6 linked regions of the Xenopus tropicalis genome follow. The main gene of each other region encodes a partner of the protein of the gene in region 5 in a complex. Links are inferred from orthologs where the notes say so. Each region holds a gene or a part of one and is shown on either strand. Other genes may lie near its edges. The genes, in order: ramp2, adm, adm2, ramp3, calcrl and ramp1.

Region 1 (3,500 bases), on a different chromosome or scaffold from region 5:
TGTAGTTATTGGCTATATTATTTGGGAATGCAAGATTCAAAATTTCAGCCAAGTCCTCTAGGCATATTCTTAAATTACTGTAATGTCTAGGATAGAAAAAAAAAAAACTAGTTATACAGTGTGTGCACACAGTAGTGGAGTATCATCTAATGATGAACCCAGATATATACAGTATGCTACTACAGCACAAATTAGTTCAACAAAGCAGAGAGTCACAAGTTTCACAATCAATGAAACAGTCAACTCTTGGCATTGATCATATTGTCACTATGGTACAATTGTCTGCTAGAAAGAGAACCCAGATTACAATAACATCCTTGATTATGGCCCATTATTACCTAAATGAAAAGCCGCAAAGTAACTGCTGCTCAGTCAGACTTTAAGATAGGCAAAACATAAAAATATTTGGTTTCAGCGGTTTATGCTTTTGCCAAGACTATTTTCTATACATAAACAAGAAATTAAGGCTAGGGGAATGGATTAATGGAAGGGTGTGGGGGGGTCCAGGGATTAAAGCAGCAATATTTGTACATATCAAGGATACAGTAATCCTTATTTTGTTGAAATGTGTTGTTGTATCATATACAATAGTAGCTTTCATTGAGAGAATTATATAAATAAGGCATTTTATACACCAGTTCTTAGTGTTATTGCAGTTGTCTAAATTTGACTGTATTGTTCAAAAACAATTGCATCTAAAAACAACCCATTAAGGCCCCCCTCCTGGGATTGTACAATTCACAGTGTACACAAACAAACCAAGGCCCACATACAACAAGAGCTGCATAACTTCATATCAGGTGATCTCTGAGGGAGCACACAGACTATCACAAAATGGCCGCTCAAGGTAAAAGATGCACAAGGGCATTATTTACTAATATATTCCAGTTTGGTAAGATTCTTTATAGGCCACTAAATATGATATAAACTATGTGCTGGTTAAGTATTCATTCTGAGGGTACAGTTCTCCTTTAAGACAGGGAAGGCCATACCCTCCTGTATTCTAATTCATAAAGAGCATTGTTCCAGATTCTATATTTATTTTATTCTAGACAACATGGGTAATAGGCTGAAAAATGTATAAAGGTGTTATAGTATGCTAGGGTCTTCTTAATTGCACTTTTATTCTAGCCAAAAAAAATTGTATGTTTTAGGTCCATGTCTTGAGGTTTGAAAAAACACTGACACCGTATAATTTAATGTTGAGAGTCATTAATAATATCATGAGTCCAGGGCCGTATTTATAATAAGGCACCTCAGGTGCCTATAAGTTTTTATAAAAAAATGCGCCCAGCCTCCGCCATGGATTGCCATAGGAAATCCAGCAACGGAGCTGTGGGGTCAGGTTGCTCTGCGGAAGTGTGCACGATGTGCGTGATGTCACTTCTGAGACATAGGCGCGCAACCCGACCCCCCAACCTTCCAGCTCCATCGCTGAGCGTGATATCACACGCGCACACACGATGAGCATGATGTCACATGCATGACGTAATGCAGTAAAATAAATTAGCACTAATTTCATATATTGGTGTTCTGAGCCTGACAAGTATATATACTGTATATCAGGGGTCCCCAACCTTACCTTACCATCTTACTCGTGAGTCACAGTGAAATGTAAAAAGACTTGGAGAGCAACACAAGCATCACAAATTAATAGAAGTGCCAAATAAGGGCTAAGATTGGCGATTAGGTAGCCTCTATGCACCCTATCAGCTTACAGGAGGCTTTATTTGGTAGTAAGTATTGTTTTTACTCAACCAAAACTTGCCTCCAAGTCAGGAATTCAAAAATAATTACCTGGTTTGGGGGCAAGGGATTGGTGAGCAATATGTTGCTCACGAGCCACTGGTTGGGGATCACTGCTGTGTATATATATCTCAACAAAACACAAACCCTTTTGATATTTTTACAATGTCTACCTGTTGATATGATGCCATTCACACCAATTATCCGAGTTTACTGTGGACATATTCCTGGTGTAACCAAGCCAACATGACTCTGCAAAATAAAGATGCATTGACTCTGCAGGAAAGAAAATTATAAATAGAAACTTTATTGTTATTATTACTATTATTAGCACATATTTATAAAACATATAGAATTATAAAATACTCTGCAACTGATACAAAAGAGAGCTTACACTTAAGAGTTATAATAATAATCTATGGAATTACACACCTATATACATTCTATAGTATTTTTCAAATAATTGCATAATAATGTCCTTTTTAAGAAAAATCACCAGGTTATAGATACATTAAGCACTGTGCTACCGTTCAGTGGACACCCAATGATAAATTCATCACAAATCTTACCCTTGCCTGGCCTTTAAGCTTGCCCACCCCTTAAACTTGCCCACCCCCTTTAACTTTCCTATATTCATTTAATATGAAACTTCAAAGTGGTTTTGTGTCATAAACCGTAATTCAGAGAATGCAAATATCAGACAGCTATCCCTTGCAACAGCAATGTATACTAGAATGTTGCACAGAATTACAAACAGCTACTGAAATTCTAAACTAGAGAGTTGATAAATAAAAAGCTAAATAATTCAAAATCTCTAAAAAAAAATTGCATAGACCAATTGCATATTGACTAAAAAGTTATATATCATACTAAAAGTTAGTTTAATGCTGAACTACCCCTTTAAAAGTGATCAATGCAAATTACTTTTGTACTCAACAAACACTATATAAGTATGTAGTTAGAACTTCAATGAGATATCACATCAAAATCAAAACTTACGTATGTCCTTAAAAATGTGCTTGGTCTCATTATGAGCAGAATCTGTGAGGTTTTGCTGGACTGCCACTGAACTGGCAACTGTGGAAACAAACTGGCATTAGGAAAAAAAGTGCTTTAAGGAGCTTTAATTTTATTGACTTCTGAATACACTGGGTGGCTGAAGGTCAGGGGCAAACTGACCCTTAAATTAGTCAGCAAATTTTGTTCATTATTCAAGTCAGGAGTTTGAAGGGAGGAACCAGGAGCAGCGGTTTGTGTGGAGATGTAGTCAAGTCAGACTATTTGAGTAGCTGGCCAGCCAATCCAAGGTATATAAATGGAGTTTTCTATAAGGCTGTACCAGAGATAGATACTCCATTTATGAAACCCAGTTCTGCAAGACAAGTGCAAAGTGGTCAGGGACCAGGGGTCATGGGAAAACATGTTTTTTTCAAAATGTGTAAGTAAAAAGAGCTTTTCCAGCAGAATTCTGCATTGAAATCCATTTTTCACAAACACAGATTTTTTATATTTTATTTTGAAATTTCACATGTGGCTAGCCATATTCTTCTTTCCCAGGGTGTTACAGTCCTGTGGCCTGTGCTCTGATAAACTTCAGTCACACTTTACTGCTGAGCTGCAAGTTGGAGTGATATCGAAATGAGCAGCCGATCAGCAGAACAACGGGAAGGTAGCAAGATAGCGGCTCCCAGTTTATATCAGAATAGCACTCAATAATAAGAAATCCAAGTTCGGCTTGGGACTCTTCCAGTTAC
Region 2 (4,286 bases), on a different chromosome or scaffold from region 5:
AGGGGAAAGGGGAGCAAATAGCACAAACACACCCCCACCCCCTGGCAGCCAGAAAGAAGTTTTTGTCGCTATATCTCCGGCCACCACAAGGGGGAGCTGTTGGGACCTTCTGGTCCTCACACTGAGGTTGAGACTTCGCTCTGCAGATCCAAGGCAAGATTAACCCGATATTGCAGCACCCAGCCAGGGCCATATGATTTGGCACCCACCCTAAAGCCGGTATCCAGTTTGTGTTATTTCGGTGTGTGTGTCCCTTCCGTCCATAAAGTGCAAAATAAAACAGCAAAATCCCATATGTAGACCTTGTTCCTTTTTGTTTATTTTACTGCCATGTCCACAGGTTGTTCGACCACCTCGAACCCGATCCTTTTGTTGCATTTCTAACACTTTTACGGCATTCCGATCCCTTCGGCGGGACTCACACCAGGAATTCTATGAGCTCCTCTGAGCAGAAGACCTTTCTGAAGAAGTTGCTACATCTCCATTTGGAGGGTTTTCCTTCTTCTTCTTTTTTAAGTCTTGAGCAAAGCTTCCAATATTTTGCCTTTTTTCCAGGTTTCCCTGCCTTGGTTGGGTTTTCCAGCTGAAACAATGTCCATAAGTCTTGGTTGGGTTCCACCAGGCTGGTTTGTGCTGACCCAGCTTGGCTTGATGTGACCATCTCTGACTGTCAACTGGAGCTTATTGTCAGGGAGAGACCTTCTCCTCCGGCCGTACCCCTGTGAGCTGATCTTGTTGACTGGTGCTGTGCTGTCTTTGTCTTTGTCGGTGTACTGGAAGATCTGGTGTGCCAAGTTCTGCACCGTGCAGGTCCCAAATCTGCAGCCCACTCTCACCGACTGTAAGTGGTGGAAGGTATGTCTGTACCTCTTTACACGGATGTGGGCATCATTGCTGCAATCAAAACAGACAATGGTAAGAGAACTGAACATTCTTCAGACAAGAGAACCTACCTCCCTAGAGAGAAGAACCTACACCCTATAGAGTAGAACCTACCACCCTAAAGAGAAGAACCTACACCCTATAGAGTAGAACCTACCACCCTAAAGAGAAGAACCTACACCCTATAGAGTAGAACCTACCACCATAAAGAGAAGAACCTACACCCTATAGAGTAGAACCTACCACCATAAAGAGAAGAACCTACACCCTATAGAGTAGAACCTACCACCCTAAAGAGAAGAACCTACACCCTATAGAGTAGAACCTACCACCCTAAAGAGAAGAACCTACACCCTACAGAGTAGAACCTACCACCCTAAAGAGAAGAACCTACACCCTATAGAGTAGAACCTACCACCCTAAAGAGAAGAACCTACACCCTATAGAGTAGAACCTACCACCCTAAAGAGAAGAATCTACACCATATAGAGTAGAACCTACCACCCTAAAGAGAAGAACCTACACACTATAGAGTAGAACCTACCACCCTAGAGAGTAGAACCTACACCCTATACCACCCTATAGAGTACATCATGGACACCAACCAACACTCCTCCACAGCAGAGGTTGGTGAGAAAACTGGAACCCTTTAGGGTTGGGGAACACAAATAAAACTGACCAAGTCCAAGACCAAGAGAGAAGACTTCATAGATCCAAGATGCCCACGCCATAATTATAACTGAGATCTCTAAGAGACGTGAACCCCAAGGAGAGATGGCTGACAAGTCTTCAGCACACACATTGGAGAACTAAACTGCACAGAAATAGGGATAACCCCCACCCCACACACACTCACTCACAACAGGGAACTGCAAGAGGACTCTACACCCAGCACCCAAAGCTCTCAAAACTCCAGCACCCACCCCCTTCATTCTGCATCCCCGTTACTGGCTCATTCAGAAAAATGCTTACACTAAATAACAGAGCTGACCCTTGCCCAGCAGGTTAGTCAGTGGACTGTGCTTAGGCTGCAGATAATGCAGGGCGGCTGTGCCCTTGCCGGCTCTCTTACCTGCTCTGGTGGGAGCTCAGGGGATCCTTAACGTCCTCGTTTTTGACAAATGACGTTTCTGAGGCTGCTTTAGCCGCTGATGCTGATTGGACGTCCGTCTTCAGATCCCTTCTTAGCCTGTGCATCCCAAGGGAGCTCCATCTACAAGGGCACCAAACAGGTTTTTGTAAGCAACACGTACGTCTAAGGACTGGACTAACCACTTGACATTTCTAGAAGTAAAGGGCAAGTACAAGCCCTTTGGGAGTCGGGATACTTACTTTTTTCTGTCTCCCGGGATAAATTCCATTCTGCCCGCAACTAATCCCAAAAAGGTCAGACAGATGAAGTGCAGCAGGAGAATTGCTTGGCACAGATCCATTCTGGACTGGATTCTGTAGGGGAAAACAAGGCAACATTATTATTATTATTATTGAAAAATACCATTTATTCTATCTACTCTATAGTATCTAGAGTTCTGTAAATGTGCAATAACTCCATAAATATCCTTATTTCTATTTCTAAAGCTGCAGGACTGGGTAGATTTCTATACATGACTATACGGGGATGTTTCTGCGCAGGTGTAGCTATCAGCCAACCACCTGCAATCTATGCTCTGTGCAGAAACTGATATGGCTGTGCAGAAACACCTTACAAACTGACCTAAATTCCTCCCAAATTCGAAATAAAACTCTAAATAAAATACATTTCTAACCCCCTCGGTGCTAAAAATGTGAAGCTGAAAAGCTGCCGTACCTTTTCTGTGTGATGATAAGAAGTATAATCCAACAAGGTTCTTCCAATGAGAATCCTCCAAGCTATAAGGATAGAGAGAGAGAGCTGCTCTCTGTTGGCTGCTATTTAGTAACAACTGGCTCTCAGGGCTGCTCGGCTGCCTTATGTACAGAACCAAGGGGGCGGGGCTGAGTTTGAGTGACAGCTCTGCTCTACAGCTCTGCAGCTCACTGCTAATTTCTATGGAAAGTTCTGTGCTGTATAGGTTAAGGCACAGGTTTCAAACACAGATAGAGCTACGGTAAGGATATTGTGGGTGCTGGGGGGGTTACAAGAAGGATTTAATCTCTCCTCTGGGGATTGGTTAAGTAGCATGAATAAATTATCAAGCTCATGAAAGCAATCAACTTTCTCCTGAACTACTGGAATGGGGGGGTTATAATATTAGATATAGTTTGGGGTGTGGCATGGGTTCTGTTTTTAATCTGTTTGTAGCCCCCCCCCCCCCCCCATTAGCTCAGACATAGGCTACAAAATATATAAAATAAAAACACATAAGAACCCCAACCTATTGCCTCGAGGGGGGGGCAGTTACTGGTGACAGATACATTAATCTCCCCATTTTCCATAGAGAAGTCATATATTAGTATTTGGGGGTATACTTTGATAAATGAAGCCCTTGGATCAAGCTTTAGTGTACAGGGGAAGGGGTAAGCTGTTGCTGAACTACAACTCTCATGAACACATATTTGTGTCGAAGGGGTTAATAAGGTAGGGAACATTTCTAACATTCCTGGACTGCTTGAATTAACAGTAATTAGGCATCTCTGGGATGTTGGATCCAGGCAATTGTGTTTGCACTTGCCCACAGAACTGGCGTATGGATATCAGCCCTCTACTCACCCCCCCCCCCCCCCACTTTGTTTGTTGGTTTTTGTGTGCTACCTAAAGGGCATATACATAGTATGCCGAGAGAGTCGTGACATCTAGAAGTATCATGCCTTTGGGCTGAGTCACCCCATGTTGTCATACTGCTAGCTGGGGCAGATAGGGAGGAGTGGGGGTAGATGACGCCTCCCTTGTGATTTGGGGATAACTCAGCACTGTGAGCAATGGGAATGGTATTTGCACCTCCTTTGTTGCTGTTTATTTTGGGAGCCCCAAGTATCTCTCCAGACTTCAGGTATGGGGAGTCCATTTGGTTCTGAAAATGTACCCAAGGCATGGGCTGGGCTGAGACCATTTTCAGCACATTCTGCTCAGATCTTCAGAAGGGGAGCAGGACCAACGTTGATCCACTGTATAACTCCAGAACTTGCTGACCACTTGGAAAGGGTTTGGAATCTCAACCAGACTTGGGGCTGACTCTAAACGTCTGAAGGACAGTGCTAACTTCTTCTCTAGCAGTGGAGTTCATTCTGAGATCTTGATGGGTCCACTGTGTTACTCCAGAACTTGCTGACACTTGGAAAGGGTTTGGAATCTCAACCAGACTTGGGGCTGACTCTAAACGTCTGAAGGACAGTGTTCCCCTCTTCTCTAGCAGTGGAGTTCATTCTGAGATCTTGATGGGTCCACTGTATAACTCCAGAACTTGCTGACACTTGGAAAGGGTTTG
Region 3 (3,148 bases), on a different chromosome or scaffold from region 5:
ACGTTCACCCTCTGAATGCCAGATTTTACACCATTATTTTACATAAGTTCTGGTGGAAGAAAAAAATGTAAAAAGATTGCGCCGATTTTACAGTGTTTTATATGTGGTGAAGCCTGGCGATGTGTGGTGAATTTTGCCAGCATTTTTTATACAATATAATAAATCTGCCCCTTAGAGTTTTCACACAGTATAACAATTGTAGGAAACTGGGCAATTGCCTACCTTCTCTCACTGTGCTTATATTCAGCATGCATTGCTGGATATTACTGTTACAGTGATACAGAGCAAAATGAAAAGTCAGTGAACATATGAAAATTTAAGAAAGGAAAGATATAAAATATAAGATACAAAGAAGCAAGGATGGCAAAATATGCCCTGTAAACTCTTTATAATCAGTGCTGTTATTTTCCTCAGGCAGCCTTTGGCTGGGAGAAGGTCTAGCTCCCTGAGTTGGAGGATAATTATAATAGAAATGCTAGATATATAATATCAACTATGGTATCCAATACAATAATACAGCACTATTCAAACCTGTGTAAAAATATATATGGATATATAGATGATGTTATACCTAGAAGCAGGAATTAAGAAAAATTGTGATTGTTGACCATTAAGCAATTTCAGTGTTCTGGGTTGGAGTAGGTAGCTGGAAATTGGCTGATCTGTATCATTCTTACTGTGTGGATGAGCAGCTCAGTTCTGCTAACTGGATAATATTAGAGATGAACCTTGGACCTGCAGTCATGCGAACATCAGAAGTGTTTTTTTCTGCTCTCAGTCATACACTTGATTACGCTGATCTGCTCAAACATACACAGTCAGGCGAGTTCATTTTGTAATAGTGAATCTGCACTGTTATACCCAAGGAAACAATCAACAGCAGTAGCAATTTTTTTTTGGGGGGGGGGGGGACCTGTCACTAAAAGAAAGTAATTTCAAATTTTTTAATTTTGTAATTGTCAGGCAAGATAAACTTCACTTACAAGTAAAGTAAAATATATAAACTTGTTTGCTTCAGTATTAGGAGTCACAATCACAGAAAACAGGCAGTGTGGGCAGTGTTATTAAAGAGATACTGACAGCTAAAATTAAACTTTTTTAATGTCAATCATAACATTGTCTTTGAATGCTGTCTATAATTTTGCTTTAAAAGTATTTGTCTGATGCTTTTACATTCCCTGTCTGATCTCCCATGTTCCTCATGAGTCTGTTAGCATTAGAAGCTATAACTGACAGACTGAGTAGGAAAAGTCAGGTTTAGAGCCTTCCTGTAACAATTACTTACAAAAGCAAACCTGTCAGTGGAAAAACATCACCATGACCTATAGGTAACTTTTATATATTCATAAATATATTCATATTTTGAAAAGTAGTTTTTTAGTGTCAGTATCACTTAAGGCAAACTTTGTATCACTCCAAAATCTTGTTTATGCACCATTATGGGGGGCTTATACCCATGACTATGTACAGGACAGGCTACTCCATTATAGACACAGAGGAGGGAGGGGGAATGAGAGGAGTGCAGTGACATCTATGGAAGTGCTAAATGGAAAGTGAAAGTAACTACCTGCTCCACGTCTATGCTTGAGGTATAGAGGAGGAAAAGGCTAAGTATCATCGTCAGTTGTGATTTCCAACAATTACAACACGTATGGTTGCTTTAACAAAACAAAAATAGTTTAATGTTTCATTTGAAAAGGACTTTTATTCGCTTAAGAGGGGACATGATTACTCTGTACAAATACATTAGAGGGGATTATAGGCAGATAGGGGTGTTCTTTTTTCCCATAAAAGTGATCAACGCACCAGAGGCCACCCCTTCCCCTATACTAGAGGAACTGAGTTTCCATTTGAAGCAGCGTAGGTGGTTTTTCACGGTGAGGGCAGTGAGGTTGGGGAATGCCCTTCCTAGTGATGTTGTAATGGCAGATAAAGGTTAATGTCTTTAAGAGGGGCCTGGATGAGTTCTTGAACAAGCATAGTATCCAAGGCTATTGTGATACTAATATCTACAGTTAGTATTAATGGTTGTATATATAGTTTATGTATGTGATAGTATAAATTGGTAAGTATAGGTTGTATGTGCTTGGTTTACTTGGAAGGGTTGAACTTGATGGACTCTGGTCTTTTTTTAAACCCTATGTAACTATGTAACTATTATACTGCTTTTTATGTCTGGGAGACAAGTCCCCTTTAATACAAATGGGCAAGCATAAATTAAAACATATTTCTACCACTTTTTCTTTTCCAGGGAGCCCCCTGACAGGGAAAAACGGCACAAGGAAGGGCCCCTGATAGAGTTGTCACTCTTCACTCCATCAGTAGCTGAGACAAAGCTGCTTAATCTGGGAACCTTGAGGAGGAAGAAGAGGCGGGTTCGTCGTTCTCATGGACCTCGCCTTATGCGTGTGGGCTGTTCCCTGGGGACTTGCCAAGTACAGATCCTTAATCACCGACTTTGGCAGTTGATGGGACAATCGGGAAAAGAGGATTCACCAATTGAACTCAGCAACCCACACAGTTATGGCTGATCCATTTGGGTGAAGGCACCAAAGACCACATCATACGTAATATAAGAACAGCATCCAGTTCTTGTTCACCAGACAGTGTGAAATACTCATAAGTTATAGTAAATAGACAGCATAAAATTCTCTGTGTCTGTCTCATCCTTCTCACAGCTTATTTCTTCTCCATATTTTAGCATTCCTTCAGTTATTTCTGCCTTTAAAAATTGTCTGTATGTCTATTTTGACTATTGTGCTTGCTGTGTCCTTATTGTTGTTTACACGATTTGCACTAGACAGAGTAGTGCTTACATACAAAACATTTTGCTTGTGCAGAGCATCCTGTTTTACCATTACTGCATCTACCCAATGTACATTTAATACTATCCCAATATCAGGGTGGATATCTCACCTAATGGACAGCTACTAAGTTTTTATCTTACAATAAGCTTGCTCATATTGAACTCATGTATTAAACTGAAATAACTTGTGAAACACTGGGTAAAAAGAAGGTACTCCCATGTAAGAGATACTCTAAAAATTGTTTTAAAAAGCTAAGTTATATGTTACCACTTCCATGATGATTTGGCCACTTAGGGGGTGTTACTTTTTCACTGTAAAAAAATACATAGTTTCTCCAACAT
Region 4 (4,167 bases), on a different chromosome or scaffold from region 5:
GCCATAATTAATGCCAACATTTTACATTAGCTTTCAACAGTTACAAAATGAAAGCAAAGCATCTGTTTGGCTGCTATGAGCAACATCACCGGTGATGTTTTACTCCACTTTTACACAGCATGATAAATATACCCCTAAATGTCCATTAAAGTAAAAAGAACAAAGCCTTGCAAGTGCAGTAGACTTGTATGCAAGAATAAGTTGTTGCATAATCAAAAGTTGTTAGGCCCCACAGCAAAATCATTTTAGCCCCTCTCCCCAAACTATGAGAATTTGACGTTTAAATAATACTGAACCTGCTTATTAGTCAGTGCCCTTTGGGCTCCCAAGCAGTTATAAGCTTCACTTTCTGTCTAGTTACACCCTCATAAACTCATGCAATTGAACAGACAAGGCTAGCTTCTGAGCAAGTTTCACTTACATACTTATTTAAGAGCTCTGGCACCCAGGGCATTTCTTTTTTTTTTTTTTTCTAGCATGGGTGACAAAACATCTCATGTTTCCTTCCCACTGTCATTAATGTAAATTACTATTGAGAAAAAATGTGCACCACCACTGCTTTCCTTAGTAGCCCAGGCTAGAGTTTTGCAGCGGGTCAGGTAGCAGCAGGTTACCTGCCAAAAAATCTGGTACCCTGCAGGTTGCAGGTATGACTTTTGGATGAGACATATATATTTCTTATATTATCTATAAAAAAGGTTAAAATGTGGGTTTCAGGTTTAGGTTCCTTTATGCCAGGGCATTTATTACTTCTGGTTTCACCAGTGGCTTCTGTTCCTGATGGCAACAGAGAATGGCAGTGCAAAAAGTGGGGATGGAAATGCTAATTCTCTTCACTGCCTTATAAACATGCCCCTGTGTGCAATAACCAGTGATGGGTGGTCCTGTGGGAAAGACAAAGTAGCTTCTGATATACAACACCCCCTTATCCAGATTCCAACCTGTTATTGCTCTCTAGCTGCCAGAGGCTCAGAAAACCTCTGAGATAACAGTTTTGACACCATTTTACCTTAGTATAATCATTCCCTACAGGTGCTACCCTATACTTTGGAGCTTTTTCTTTCCTTCTCCAAGTGCTGCTCTGCGGGGCCTGCAACATCAAGCCAAGCACTCTATCTGCCCTACGGACAAGCAGTGGCAATAACCCAATGTAGAGGCATTTGCAGCTGCACAGCCAGCGCTCCCCGCCGTACTAGGACCCTGCAGCGCCCAATGCACAGCAAGCCCCGCCCTCCAGGCTGCCCAGATGCACAGTGTGACAGGATCCAGACTTTGGCACCACACTGCAAACTACACACATTGTCATCCTTCTGGCTGGACACATTCGGCTATCAGGGGATCCCAATAATCCCATAGCGGCAGTATTCTCAGCCTTCTTATTGTCCGCACATTCCGTGCTGAGGGATTGCGAGTATCGCTGTCATTATGACAATCCGCTCATTGTAACGGGGATCTCGAGTGGAGTTTGATAGGAGCTCGGTCACACACACGACCATTGCCCGCGGCTGCCTTTTCTCGTCTTGTGTCGCTACTGCTGCTGTTGCTGTTATTACGGAGAGAGAAGTTTATGTGACTGTCACCGCCGATCTCCTCAATGAAGTCTCCTCTGCTTTACTGAAACCTCCTCCTCAGATGCTTTCCTTTGCCCGCCCGGCGCCTCTTACCTTGGATCGGGATGGATAAACACATCTTGGCTCTGCTGCAACTTTTCCTGTCTCTGGTTTGTGGTAAGTGGCCCCATTGTGTGTGCCTGGGGGAATGGGGGCATCACTCCCTCTGGGTATGACATTGGTGGGCACTCATACAACAACTGCTGGCTCTTTTGTTCCTTTCAAAGAACACAACCGCTGGGTGATAAATGGGATTTCCTTCATGGCAATAAGCTATTGTTTAAAAACATGGATCCCAGTTCATTTGGCATCCAGGGAAACAGATGTATCTATCTCCTACCTCCCATCTATAGATATATAATCTATCAAGCTCTCTATCTTTCGTTTTTTCTTTCTATTTTCTATACCAATCGGTCTGTCCCTATCTGACCATTCATTTTTTGATCACTGTCACTGCCTCTGCCCCTTTCGCTAGCATCCATCTGGCATTTCTTGTTCAGTGTGAAACTATGCCTTGGCCAAGCACAGGGTGCAGTCTGTGAACTTGAGTTTTCTTATAAGAAAGTACTGTAATTGTATTAGCCAGGATCTATCTGTTATACCTGCCACAAATCAAGGAGCCACACTCACAGCAATGTACACTTGAGGTGCTATGGCAGAACTAATACTCATATAACAGCAAATAGGGATTCATGTATGTATGTATGTATGTATGTATAACTTTATTTATAAAGAGCAACAAGGGTACGCAGCGCTGTACAGTCTTACAGAATACAAAATTACACACAGGGAGGACAAGTGATATAATAAATAAATACATATATGTATATATATATATATATATATAAGTGCCATGCGGTATGAGACACAGTAGGAAGGAGGTCCCTGCCCCGTAGAGCTTACAGTCTAGCTCAGTAGCTAACTAAATGCCTAAAATAAATAAATAAATAAGGATGTCAAGATTTGCAAGCTGGGGGAAACAAGGTGCAAACATCTTGAAGAAAAGTAATGGAATCAAATGTTAAAAAGAAATGCATGGAAGTTGCACAATGGTGGTTAAAACAATAGCTTCGCTATATGGCAACACAATATAGCTGTGGTCTGTTGTTTTAGTGGGGTTGCAGAATGGAACAGTGATTGGCACCAGGGCCCTAGGTTTGAATCCAGCCAAGGCTGGAAGTTTTTATGTTCTTGTGTTTGTATAGGTTTCCACCCACAAAAATCGTCCCTTGATAAAAATGCTCATATTGTGTGTGAATATTATAGGGGCATTAGATTGTAAGTTTCACTTGGACAGGGTTTTTCTGTAAAGATCTGCAGAATATTTTAGTACTTTATAAATAAAGGAAAATAATAATGGAGACTTTATGAAATTGTCTCTGGTCTCTCCTCAGTTATCGTAAATGACCAGTAATCATTTAATCTCTTCCCTTGTGTTTAGAGACTCCAGAAAAAAAACTTTAGTACTGGTTTTTATCATGGATCAAAATATATAGGTATGGATCTCTTATCCAGAAAGTTCCGACTTACCAGAAGGCAATCTTCCACAGAGTCTACTTTAAGCAAATTATTTTCCATTTTAAAAATGATTTCCTTTTCCTTTAAAATAATAAAACAGCACCTTATACTTGAATGTAACTAAGCTATATATATCCATATTGGCGGCAACACAATCCTATTAGGTTTATTTAATGTTTAAATGATTTTTAGTAGACCTATGGTATGGTGATCCAAATTATGGAAGGGTTGCTTATCCAGAAAACTTCAGCTCCCAAGTTTTCTGTATAATAGATCCCATACCTGTATTGTTAAAGACTGAGCTATAAAAGTCATTTTACTTCCCTCCTATGGTTAAAAGCAGGTTGATTACTGCCTCTTCTATCATAACAAGGATATCTACTTATCATTGCCAGGATAACCAACACAGTCCAACAAATGCAACCAGTATTTAAGTTTACATCTGTATTTGAGTAGTCAAAATACCTAATTCCATGTGGATAACATATTTTGCTATAGAAAAATTAATGATTTGCTCTTACAAAGTAGACAGATTACATGATTAATAAGTACTTTTTGCACAGTTATGCTTTTATAAGTCTCTACTTTCACTTATCATCTTACAATTTTATCTGTAGCCGTTATTTTATTTCAGTCATGTGTCTTGTGGGTTTGTTTAATACACTGATAGGAATGGGTGTGCATTTTAAATATAGATTTTCAGATTACACTCTGCATAAACTGTTAAATAGGACATTGTACATAGTTATAACATTTCACCCTTCCAGGCTGATGAACAGGTATCTGTTCCTACTTTATGCTGTAGGTCTACTTGCTCATTCCCAGGAGCACAAAGTCTTGAGAAGACTGCTGCGATTATGCTGATCGAATCATATTTGCTGATTGCATAAGATAGAGCAATACATTGAAGAGAAAAATGTGCCTGCACCCATGTCCCTTGTGAGAGCTGGTTGTTGTGCCTTAATGCAATAAGTATTCGTTTAACAAATATAAATGAGGCTGAGCAAACATATTTAATGTGTTAGGGGTTGCTGTAGAA
Region 5 (3,500 bases):
TCCCTAGTTCTTACATGTAAATTTCTTTTATAGTTCTTGCTGGTTTGGGCTCAGGCTTGGAAAGCCCTTGATTTTCTGGTTCTGTAGTTTTTATTGGAATATTATAATAATAATTCAGATTGAATCTAAATGATTTAAACCAAATATGAACCCCCAATTTTTATATTCAAATTTGAGAAAAATATAAAATTGCACCAGCTGTAACCAAAATGTGCTACATTCAGTTGTCTAGAGCTTTAAGGTTACACAACATGATTTTAATGGGTTAGATTCAGTGTAACTGAACACTAAGGGGTGATTTATCAATTTTCAAATTGGAATGTCTGTTTGCAAAATGCAAAAAAACAGAAAAATTAAGCACTTCGTGTAGAAGTCAATGGGAGTTGTCCTAGGCAAAGTCAAGCCTTATTTTCCATTCAAGATATTCAAGTTTTTCGAGTTTGTAAACTCAAAACTTCGAGGTATTCAGGTTTTCCTATTTGAACAAGTTTACCATATTAATAAATAAACAAGCTTTTGTTTTTTTTTTAAAATGCGAAATTATTCAAATTAGAAGAAAACTCTAGAAAGAACGTGTGACAATAGAAGAATGTAATTGTTCATAAAAGTAAAGGGTAAATTAATTATTTAATACCAATTAGCTTCATTCCCTTAAATATATAAACGTGCAACTTACTGGGTTGGTTGCTACTAAAGCTTGGTTATTGGCCACGGCTGATAAAGATATTATCGTGATAATAGAGTTGCAAACAAAAGAGAAAAATAAGTTTTTATGGAGTGTAATTCTCTGGCAGCTCAAGTTCCTAAAAAAAAAATATTGTATTAAGAAAATACCTTAAAAGTAATATATAATAATCAATATACACACACACAAATACATTGCATTATATTGTTTTAATTATACATGACTAATAATTCATATGTGTTCACAGTGCTAAGCAATCTATATATGTTGCCAAGGCATATGTAAAACAAGTTATTTAACAAGGCTCATATACTTAATATTGGGCAAGATCCTGGAAAAAAAAAGAAAAGATAACAAGCTGGATAGGTTTTTTAAATGTTGATATGGAATGCCAAATATTTGCTCTAAACTTAGATTTTAAGGGGCAGATTTATTCAAATGTGAGTTTAGAGCTCAATATGTAAAACCAATTAATCTGCCTATATGTTGTTTAAGACACACAGACACTGATATATCACAGAAACTCCTTAAAGTGATACTTACATGGAAAAACTACGTTTTAAAATATGAATCTACATAAAAAGTTATCTATGGGTCATGTTGATCGTTTAATTCTGATAGGGCATCTTATGTTAGTAACTATTAGTCAAAGTTCTTAAACCTGACTGTTTTGCCAACCTGACTGTCAACCTGTCAGTTATAGCTTCTAATGCCAACGGACTCCTGCTGCACAAATATGGCAGCCCCCTCATAGAGGAACATGGGGGGATCAGATAGGGAATGTAAAAGAATCTGACAATTACTTTTATGGCAACATTATAAATAGCATGCAAAGACAATTTTATGTCCAATGTAAAAAAAAAAAAATATTTCTGGTGTCAGTACCTCTTTAAGGCCTCTTGGAGGCCAGATATGGCCTCTAATTAAACAATCCTTAAACAATCCTAAAATATTACCCGTCATTATTATTATTATTGCAGTAAATATGAATAGAATAAGGGTGAGTTTTTATATATTCAAAATTAAGCAATTTGTGAAAAGAGTGCAAGTTTTGAGCAAGCCTTAATAATGGGGTACTTTAATTGACTGGAGCAATAATACTGAAAGCACAGTTAGAGTACACATGTTCCTAAATGTATTGCATGACATATCAAGATTGTTGAGGACCCAACCAAAAGTTATGCAATATTAGATCTAGTAATCTTGAACAACCCAGAATGTACCAATAATATCTCACTACCTCAATTAATGTGTTTGTTGTAAAAATAAAGAAATGTTTTCACTGGATAGCAGACTTTAAAATTCAGGAAAGAAAACTTTAGCACCTTAAAACAATTACTTATTATATAATGGCCAAATTGTGTATCAATGTTCCACTACTACTCACAATGAAGTAAAATAACATAATGAAACAAAATAACACAATTGTAACTTACAAGTATTACACAAAGCCATAAAGATCATAATCATGATTCATCCCCTGAGGCTCTAATTATCCCAGGGTATGAGTCCAAAATGCCTCATGTTTTTTTCTTTCTTTTTTAAAATATGATTTTCTATTACCTCCATGCACCGGAATCGATTCTATCACAGCATATCGCAATGAGAGGTGCTATTGTCCTGCTTGTTTAAAGGGATACTGTCATGGTTTTTATGGTGTACTTTTTCATTTCTAAATTGCACTGTTTACATAGCAAATAATTCACTCACTAATTTAAAATTTTATTCTTGAACCAACAAATGTATTTTTTTTAGATGTAATGTTGTTGTGTAGGCAGCCATCTTAGCTTTCAGAAGGAGCCAGTGCTACACATTAGAACTGCTTTCAGGTAACCTATTGTTTCTCCTACTCCCATGTAACTGGAGGAGCCCCAAGCCAGACTTGGATTTCTTACTATTGCTACCTTCTCATTGTTCTGCTGATCGGCTGCTGGGAGGGTGTTGATATCACTCCAACTTTTCTAATTGGACCAGTGTTGTTAGTGGAGTACTGCAGGGGTCAGTCCTTGGTCCTTTGCTTTTTAACTTGTTTATTAATGACCTGGAGGTGGGCATACACAGTACTGTTTCTATTTTTGCTGACAACACTAAATTGTGCAAAACTATAAGTTCCACTCAGGATGCTGTTGCTTTGCAGAGCGATTTGACAAAATTGGAAAACTGGGCAGCAGTTGGGGGGATCCTTAATGGAGAAGGATCTAGGGGTTTTTGTAGCTAACAAGTTGTGTTATCTAATTCCAGGAAGTGTCATTCTGTGGCTACTAAAGCAAATAAAGTGCTGTCTTGCATAAAAAGGGCATTGACTCAAGGGATGAAAACATAATTTTGCCCCTTTATAGGTCCCTGGTAAGGCCTCACCTTGAGTATGCAGTGCAGTTTTGGGCTCCAGTCCTTAAGAAGGATATTAATGAGCTGGAGAGAGTGCAGAGACGTGCAACTAAACTGGTTAAGGGGATGGAAGATTTAAACTATGAGGTTAGACTGTCGAGGATGGGGTTGTTTTCTCTGGAAAAGAGGCGATTGAGAGGGGACATGATTACTCTGTACAAGTACATTAGAGGGGATTATAGGCAGATAGGGGGTGTTCTTTTTTTCCCATAAAAAGATCAATGCACCAGAGGCCTCCCCTTTAGATTAGAGGAACGGAGCTACCATTTGAAGCAGCGTAGGTGGATTTTCATGGTGAGGGCAGTAAGGTTGTGGAATGCCCTTCCTAGTGATGTTGAAATGGCAGATTCTTTTAATGCCTTTAAGAGGGGCTTGGATGAGTTTTTGAACAAGCATAGTATCCAAGGCTATTGTGATACTAATATCT
Region 6 (4,084 bases), about 13 Mb from region 5:
GCTCCTAACTTGGACATCATTCAGAGGTACATGCTAGGGAGGTCCAATAGTTGCATGAAGCACCTTTAGCAACTCCCACAATGCTGTGCTCTAAACGTTATGCCCGTAGAGTAAGGTGCAGAGTGCAGCCATGTCCTGGGTGCAAGTGCTCTGTAAGTGATTATATTTTGACAGTTTTTTCCCAAGATCATATTGATTTTGCGTTTTAATGATAGTTCCCCTTTAATATTTTATTTGCTCTGCTGTTTGGAATTAAAATGGATTTGTAGATTCAAGATTAATAGTAAGTAGATGGCTTCAACAAATAGATATCCAATACAAATACTCTAAAAAAAGTGACAGAATTCATGGTTTTTTTTAGTTTTTTTGGGGGGGTGCTGTATTCAGTGACCCTGGCAACCAGATGGCATTTTAACTGAGACCTGGAAAGAGGCAGAATTCATGGACAAATAAGTAAAAAGAAACAAATAGACCAAATGAAAAGTAACTGAGTAGGTCACATACAATATATGTAAAGCTCATTTTAAAGAGAACCTATAGGACAAATAAGCATTGGATCTGAATGTTGCACTTCTTAGCTGTTAGAGCCATTACTAATACAGTACCTCAGGGATATGCATCGCATTACCACAGAAAGTGGCACAGCTTTGGTACCCATAATAACATCTGCCAAAATACAGGTTATCAGAACTGAATGAACAAGTATGTTCCAGGTCTTACTTATAAAACGAGCTCATTTGTGCGGCACAACTAGGCCAGTACTCTTTACTTACCCTCAAGACAAAAACCTATCTGTCTCCTATTATTAGCAGCTCTGCAGCCATTTTTCCATACCTTCCTCTAATTACTGCAAAGAAAAACTCAACACTCATTCCCCCTCCCACATTATTTCAGCTGGCAGTACCCCTCTCCCCCCAAAATCTGCACAAGGAACACTTGCTCCCTCGCTTTGTCTTTGTTCTACAGCAAACAAGCTGGACGAAACACCCCAGAGAGGTTTGTGGCACTTGGAGAGATAACATGTTATAAGCATTATGAGTATGCCTCTATTAGTTCTATGGAGTCTGCTTTGTATCAGGTTATGTGCAGCTATCACATAAAGCAAAGGTATATGGATTCCAATGATTTTTTTTATGGAGTTTGCTTGGTACCAGCAATGCCCTGGCTAATGCAGCAAGAAAAATCGCGTTTTGTGCAATCTCAATTGTGTGTTTCTTTTTTGCAAAATAAAAGCAACTGTCACTATAAAATTTCAGTAGTTTTACAGTTATTTGTAAATGTAACTGGGATCATAAGCAGTATCTGTTTATCCCTTTCTCTTCTCTGGCTCTGACTTCTGAAACAATGTAGCAGAATTCAGTTCTCCCCCAGGTCTGTTAATCAGCTGCTACATAGTTCCAGGAGCCAGAAGTGCTCAGACTATAAACAGCCAGACAGACACTGCTATCAATAGTAATAACATTTACAAATAATTTTAAAACCATTGAAAATGTGTAATAAATTAATATTTAAAAGTTGCTTAGAATTACACATTCTTGCATTGTACAACAGGGAAAACTTTGTATTTGGAGGAGGTTACCTTTTAGAAGTTAAAAATGTATATGTTTTGTAAAGTGTGGCTGAGAGTATAAGGAAGCAAGGACAACTATGCCTTACAGGCTTTTTTTTTAGCAAGATTATTAATCATTTTCTTATTAGTGATGTTTATAGACTCTCTCCCAAGGCAGACAATTCAGCTTCATCACTTAAACACACAGCCCCCAAGCATGCCCAATCTGTACTGGGATACCCTTGTCCAGCAGCAGATGTAACTGGATTGATTACTGGATCACATTATACATCAAGTAATATTTATTGGTGTTTTTAAAACTTCAACCTTGAAACTGTGTATTTGACTCCCAATGCATTATCTGCTACATAAGAGAATTTCTTCTCCATTCTTGTTTACAGGGTAACCCTTTTGAAATAAAAAATACCAAAAGTGGTATAAAGGTGATACCTTTATTGGCTAACTAAGATAACCATAGCAAGCTTTCAGAACATTTTAGTTCCTTTTTCAAAGGTAATCAGCTTGAAAAAGGAACTAAAATGTTCTGAAAGCTTGCTATGGTTATCTTAGCAAGCCAAAGGTATCACCTTTATACCACTTTTGGTATTTTTTATTTCAAAAGGGTTACCCTGTAAACATTTTTTGACTGGCTAACACGGTACATCACCTTTTCCTGCTTCTCCATTCTTGTGACTCCTCCAACTGGCAAACCTATAATGATATCTATAAGGCATTGGGCTCAATGGGTCCTGGTGTTATAACCAAATGATACTACATAACAAGTACAGAGAAAAGACACTATAATAAAAAGGCTGTATCTGTGCAAACTTTCTGAGATAGAAACAGAACTTTCTAAGATGTATGGATGACTGGCAAACTAAAGAGTAGCATTACCCTGGGTGCAGGCTGGACCATTCACTGTGCAGGTAAATCACACATTGTATGTTACAACTATGGGAAGTAAAGAAGCTGCTGTTACAGCCATGTGAGGCTCAATGTGATGATAAACATGAGAAAGGGTGTGAGCTCTACCCATAGGAGATAGTTTAATGGAAAAGGCACAGTAAATAGTAATTATCAGCTGTCAGACTGGAACCCTGAGAGTGAGAAGTAGAACATGGCAACTGTGCTGGGTATGGCAGGGATGGCCACTCACCTAGGAGGATCCATAGAAGGTGCTGGGGGTTGAGGAGGAATCCCTGTGGCATGTCTGTGCTGCCGGTGTATCTCACAGGGAGGCGTCCATCACAGCACAGTTCTTAGTCCCACTGTTGGGTGCAGCAACCAGGTGCAGGACCAGCACAAATGCCCTCACCCCCCCCCCCCTACCAAAATATACAGGAGGAGCCAAAATGGACCACCCAGCACTGATAATACTTTGATGCAGTCGGCAGTCAGAATGGTTCTGTAGGACAGACGGTATTGGACGAATAAAGCGCAAAGCCTCCCATATCCCCCCTCAGGTGGCAGCTGGGTTCCAGTGAGTGAGGCGGCGAGGCATTTCCCTGCGAGTTGGGCTCTCCCGTCCCGCACTGAGGGGCGACACACGGCCAATTAGGCAGTCTTCCCTCGTTTGCTCCACTTTACACTGGATTGGGTTCAGCCTTCCGCTGGGATTGTCTCCGCCGCTACGGGAAACTTCTTTTGAATGGCAGGCAGTGCAGGCGTGTGTCTGTGTGGGAGGAAGGTCGCTCTCTCATTGCCCGGAGTGTCCGTGTGTGTAACTTACTGACCCGGGCACCCAAACTAAATGTAGCGCCGGTCGCTTGGTGGAGGCATCCAACTAACAGAGGGGAGTGTCCAGCCTGCTCTCTATAAGGAGGCATTCCTGGAAATGGCTGGGGAGTCACCTGTACCAGTCATGGTACCTTCCTATCTCCAGCCTGAGGCATGGAATCCGCTTGTGTCTCTGGCAATCAGCTGCTCAGAGCTGGAGAGATGGATTCAGCCCTTGGCCACTCTTGGGTGGGAGATAGGGTGCTACTGGGGTTGCCATTTGTCATGCCATCCATCTTGTTTAGGAGGGCAGGTGTGGGGATGGGGGGCTGTGTGCCTAAAGAGTTCCAAGGATTGAATTTATCCGCCACACAGTGAATATTGCATTCAGTCCTTGTTTTCCCACAAAGTCCAGGTAGCCCAGAATATTAGAGTGCAGGCTGCCAGTGGCCTTTCCCATTCATTTGTGTCACCTTTCCCTGCCCTATCTTGGCTCTTCCAACACCCCCCTCTGTTGGAAGTACAGTAACCCATAATTTTAAATGAGTTGGCAAATTGAGTTTTTCTTTGTGCTACTTGTAGCACAGGTCACTTGCCCATAGCATTCTCTGTGTGACATGTATAAACACATGCTTAAAGGCAATTCTTGGCTGAAAACACAGTTTGCCATGTTTGCCTCACTACATTTCAGGCAAAAATCTCAAGCCCAAGTGGCTTCCCCATTAACATCATATGCAAGTGATCAGTAGAGGGGAACAGGTGTATCTTCATTGTTCATTCTTGTTGTCACAACAGGGGGGTAGGAAAACACCCTGATAT

What was found.
Region 1: the proteins of calcrl (region 5) and ramp2 are in contact, whole or in part, in a crystal structure (PDB 3AQF), measured with the Homo sapiens proteins. The link is inferred for Xenopus tropicalis from reciprocal best matches to the Homo sapiens genes CALCRL and RAMP2. Residues at the interface, in NP_001258680.1 of Homo sapiens: Arg38, Asn39, Ile41, Met42, Thr43, Gln45, Tyr46, Glu47, Tyr49, Gln50, Lys51, Ile52, Met53, Gln54, Trp69, Asp70, Gly71, Arg119; in NP_005845.2 of Homo sapiens: Trp86, Ile89, Tyr93, Ser94, Arg97, Leu109, Gly110, Pro112, Glu117, Ile120, Phe121, His124, Gln125, Phe128, Ala129, Cys131, Ser132, Leu133, Val134.
Region 2: the proteins of calcrl (region 5) and adm are in contact, whole or in part, in a cryo-EM structure (PDB 6UUS), measured with the Homo sapiens proteins. The link is inferred for Xenopus tropicalis from reciprocal best matches to the Homo sapiens genes CALCRL and ADM. Residues at the interface, in NP_001258680.1 of Homo sapiens: Val36, Thr37, Asp70, Gly71, Trp72, Asp90, Tyr91, Phe92, Gln93, Asp94, Phe95, Asp96, Pro97, His114, Ser117, Thr120, Trp121, Thr122, Tyr124, Thr125, Asn128, Val135, Ala138, Leu139, Leu141, Phe142, Thr145, Thr191, Leu195, Ala199; in NP_001115.1 of Homo sapiens: Cys110, Arg111, Phe112, Gly113, Thr114, Cys115, Thr116, Val117, Gln118, Lys119, Leu120, Ala121, His122, Gln123, Ile124, Tyr125, Gln126, Phe127, Thr128, Asp129, Lys130, Asp131, Lys132, Asp133, Asn134, Ala136, Pro137, Lys140, Ser142, Pro143.
Region 3: the proteins of calcrl (region 5) and adm2 are in contact, whole or in part, in a cryo-EM structure (PDB 6UVA), measured with the Homo sapiens proteins. The link is inferred for Xenopus tropicalis from reciprocal best matches to the Homo sapiens genes CALCRL and ADM2. Residues at the interface, in NP_001258680.1 of Homo sapiens: Val36, Thr37, Lys40, Asp70, Gly71, Trp72, Asp90, Tyr91, Phe92, Gln93, Asp94, Phe95, Asp96, Pro97, Ser98, His114, Ala116, Ser117, Thr120, Trp121, Thr122, Tyr124, Thr125, Asn128, Thr131, Lys134, Val135, Ala138, Leu139, Leu141; in NP_001240774.1 of Homo sapiens: Leu106, Arg107, Val108, Gly109, Cys110, Val111, Leu112, Gly113, Thr114, Cys115, Gln116, Val117, Gln118, Asn119, Leu120, Ser121, His122, Arg123, Leu124, Trp125, Gln126, Leu127, Met128, Gly129, Pro130, Ala131, Gly132, Arg133, Gln134, Asp135.
Region 4: the proteins of calcrl (region 5) and ramp3 are in contact, whole or in part, in a cryo-EM structure (PDB 6UVA), measured with the Homo sapiens proteins. The link is inferred for Xenopus tropicalis from reciprocal best matches to the Homo sapiens genes CALCRL and RAMP3. Residues at the interface, in NP_001258680.1 of Homo sapiens: Arg38, Asn39, Met42, Thr43, Gln45, Tyr46, Glu47, Tyr49, Gln50, Met53, Trp69, Asp70, Ser117, Arg119, Thr120, Phe228, Leu231, Ile235, His238, Thr239, Val243, Val245, Lys249, Gln250, His251, Trp254, Tyr255, Phe257, Leu258, Phe262; in NP_005847.1 of Homo sapiens: Trp56, Cys57, Leu59, Phe62, Ile63, Tyr66, Glu67, Thr70, Cys82, Tyr83, Pro85, Asn86, Pro87, Leu88, Gln90, Ile93, Thr94, His97, Arg98, Cys104, Thr105, Val106, Asp107, Arg108, His110, Leu111, Glu112, Asp113, Pro114, Val118.
Region 6: the proteins of calcrl (region 5) and ramp1 are in contact, whole or in part, in a cryo-EM structure (PDB 6E3Y), measured with the Homo sapiens proteins. The link is inferred for Xenopus tropicalis from reciprocal best matches to the Homo sapiens genes CALCRL and RAMP1. Residues at the interface, in NP_001258680.1 of Homo sapiens: Asn39, Met42, Thr43, Gln45, Tyr46, Glu47, Tyr49, Gln50, Lys51, Ile52, Met53, Gln54, Thr68, Trp69, Asp70, Gly71, Arg113, Arg119, Thr120, Phe228, Leu231, Ile235, Thr239, Val243, Ala244, Gln250, Trp254, Tyr255, Leu258, Phe262; in NP_005846.1 of Homo sapiens: Trp59, Ile63, Tyr66, Arg67, Ala70, Phe83, Trp84, Pro85, Asp90, Phe93, Leu94, His97, Gly98, Phe101, Arg102, Cys104, Pro105, Ile106, Ser107, Gly108, Arg109, Ala110, Val111, Arg112, Asp113, Pro114, Ile118, Leu119, Phe122, Ile123.

Annotation. Positions count from the first base shown.
Region 1 is NC_030686.2:22,072,069-22,075,568, forward strand, and holds part of ramp2 (receptor activity-modifying protein 2), read right to left. Parts: intron 2,824-3,500; coding exon 2,746-2,823; intron 2,023-2,745; coding exon 1,920-2,022; intron 87-1,919; coding exon 1-86. UniProt on the Homo sapiens protein: Accessory protein that interacts with and modulates the function of G-protein coupled receptors including calcitonin gene-related peptide type 1 receptor (CALCRL) and calcitonin receptor (CALCR). Required for the transport of CALCRL to the plasma membrane.
Region 2 is NC_030680.2:7,312,291-7,316,576, reverse strand, and holds the start of adm (ADM), read right to left. Parts: upstream 2,801-4,286; 5' UTR 2,690-2,800; intron 2,329-2,689; 5' UTR 2,316-2,328; coding exon 2,215-2,315; intron 2,096-2,214; coding exon 1,955-2,095; intron 895-1,954; coding exon 513-894; 3' UTR 1-512. UniProt on the Homo sapiens protein: Adrenomedullin/ADM and proadrenomedullin N-20 terminal peptide/PAMP are peptide hormones that act as potent hypotensive and vasodilatator agents. Numerous actions have been reported most related to the physiologic control of fluid and electrolyte homeostasis.
Region 3 is NC_030679.2:89,361,201-89,364,348, forward strand, and holds the end of adm2 (protein ADM2), read left to right. Parts: intron 1-2,251; coding exon 2,252-2,531; 3' UTR 2,532-2,648; downstream 2,649-3,148. UniProt on the Homo sapiens protein: Intermedin/ADM2 is a peptide hormone that plays a role as physiological regulator of gastrointestinal and cardiovascular bioactivities mediated by the CALCRL-RAMPs receptor complexes.
Region 4 is NC_030682.2:59,345,802-59,349,968, reverse strand, and holds the start of ramp3 (receptor activity-modifying protein 3 precursor), read left to right. Parts: upstream 1-1,367; 5' UTR 1,368-1,675; coding exon 1,676-1,727; intron 1,728-4,167. UniProt on the Homo sapiens protein: Accessory protein that interacts with and modulates the function of G-protein coupled receptors including calcitonin gene-related peptide type 1 receptor (CALCRL), calcitonin receptor (CALCR) and G-protein coupled estrogen receptor 1 (GPER1).
Region 5 is NC_030685.2:46,305,106-46,308,605, forward strand, and holds part of calcrl (calcitonin gene-related peptide type 1 receptor precursor), read right to left. Parts: intron 804-3,500; coding exon 677-803; intron 1-676. UniProt on the Homo sapiens protein: G protein-coupled receptor which specificity is determined by its interaction with receptor-activity-modifying proteins (RAMPs). Together with RAMP1, form the receptor complex for calcitonin-gene-related peptides CALCA/CGRP1 and CALCB/CGRP2.
Region 6 is NC_030685.2:59,191,349-59,195,432, forward strand, and holds the start of ramp1 (receptor activity-modifying protein 1 precursor), read right to left. Parts: upstream 2,801-4,084; 5' UTR 2,758-2,800; coding exon 2,706-2,757; intron 1-2,705. UniProt on the Homo sapiens protein: Accessory protein that interacts with and modulates the function of G-protein coupled receptors including calcitonin gene-related peptide type 1 receptor (CALCRL) and calcitonin receptor (CALCR). Required for the transport of CALCRL to the plasma membrane.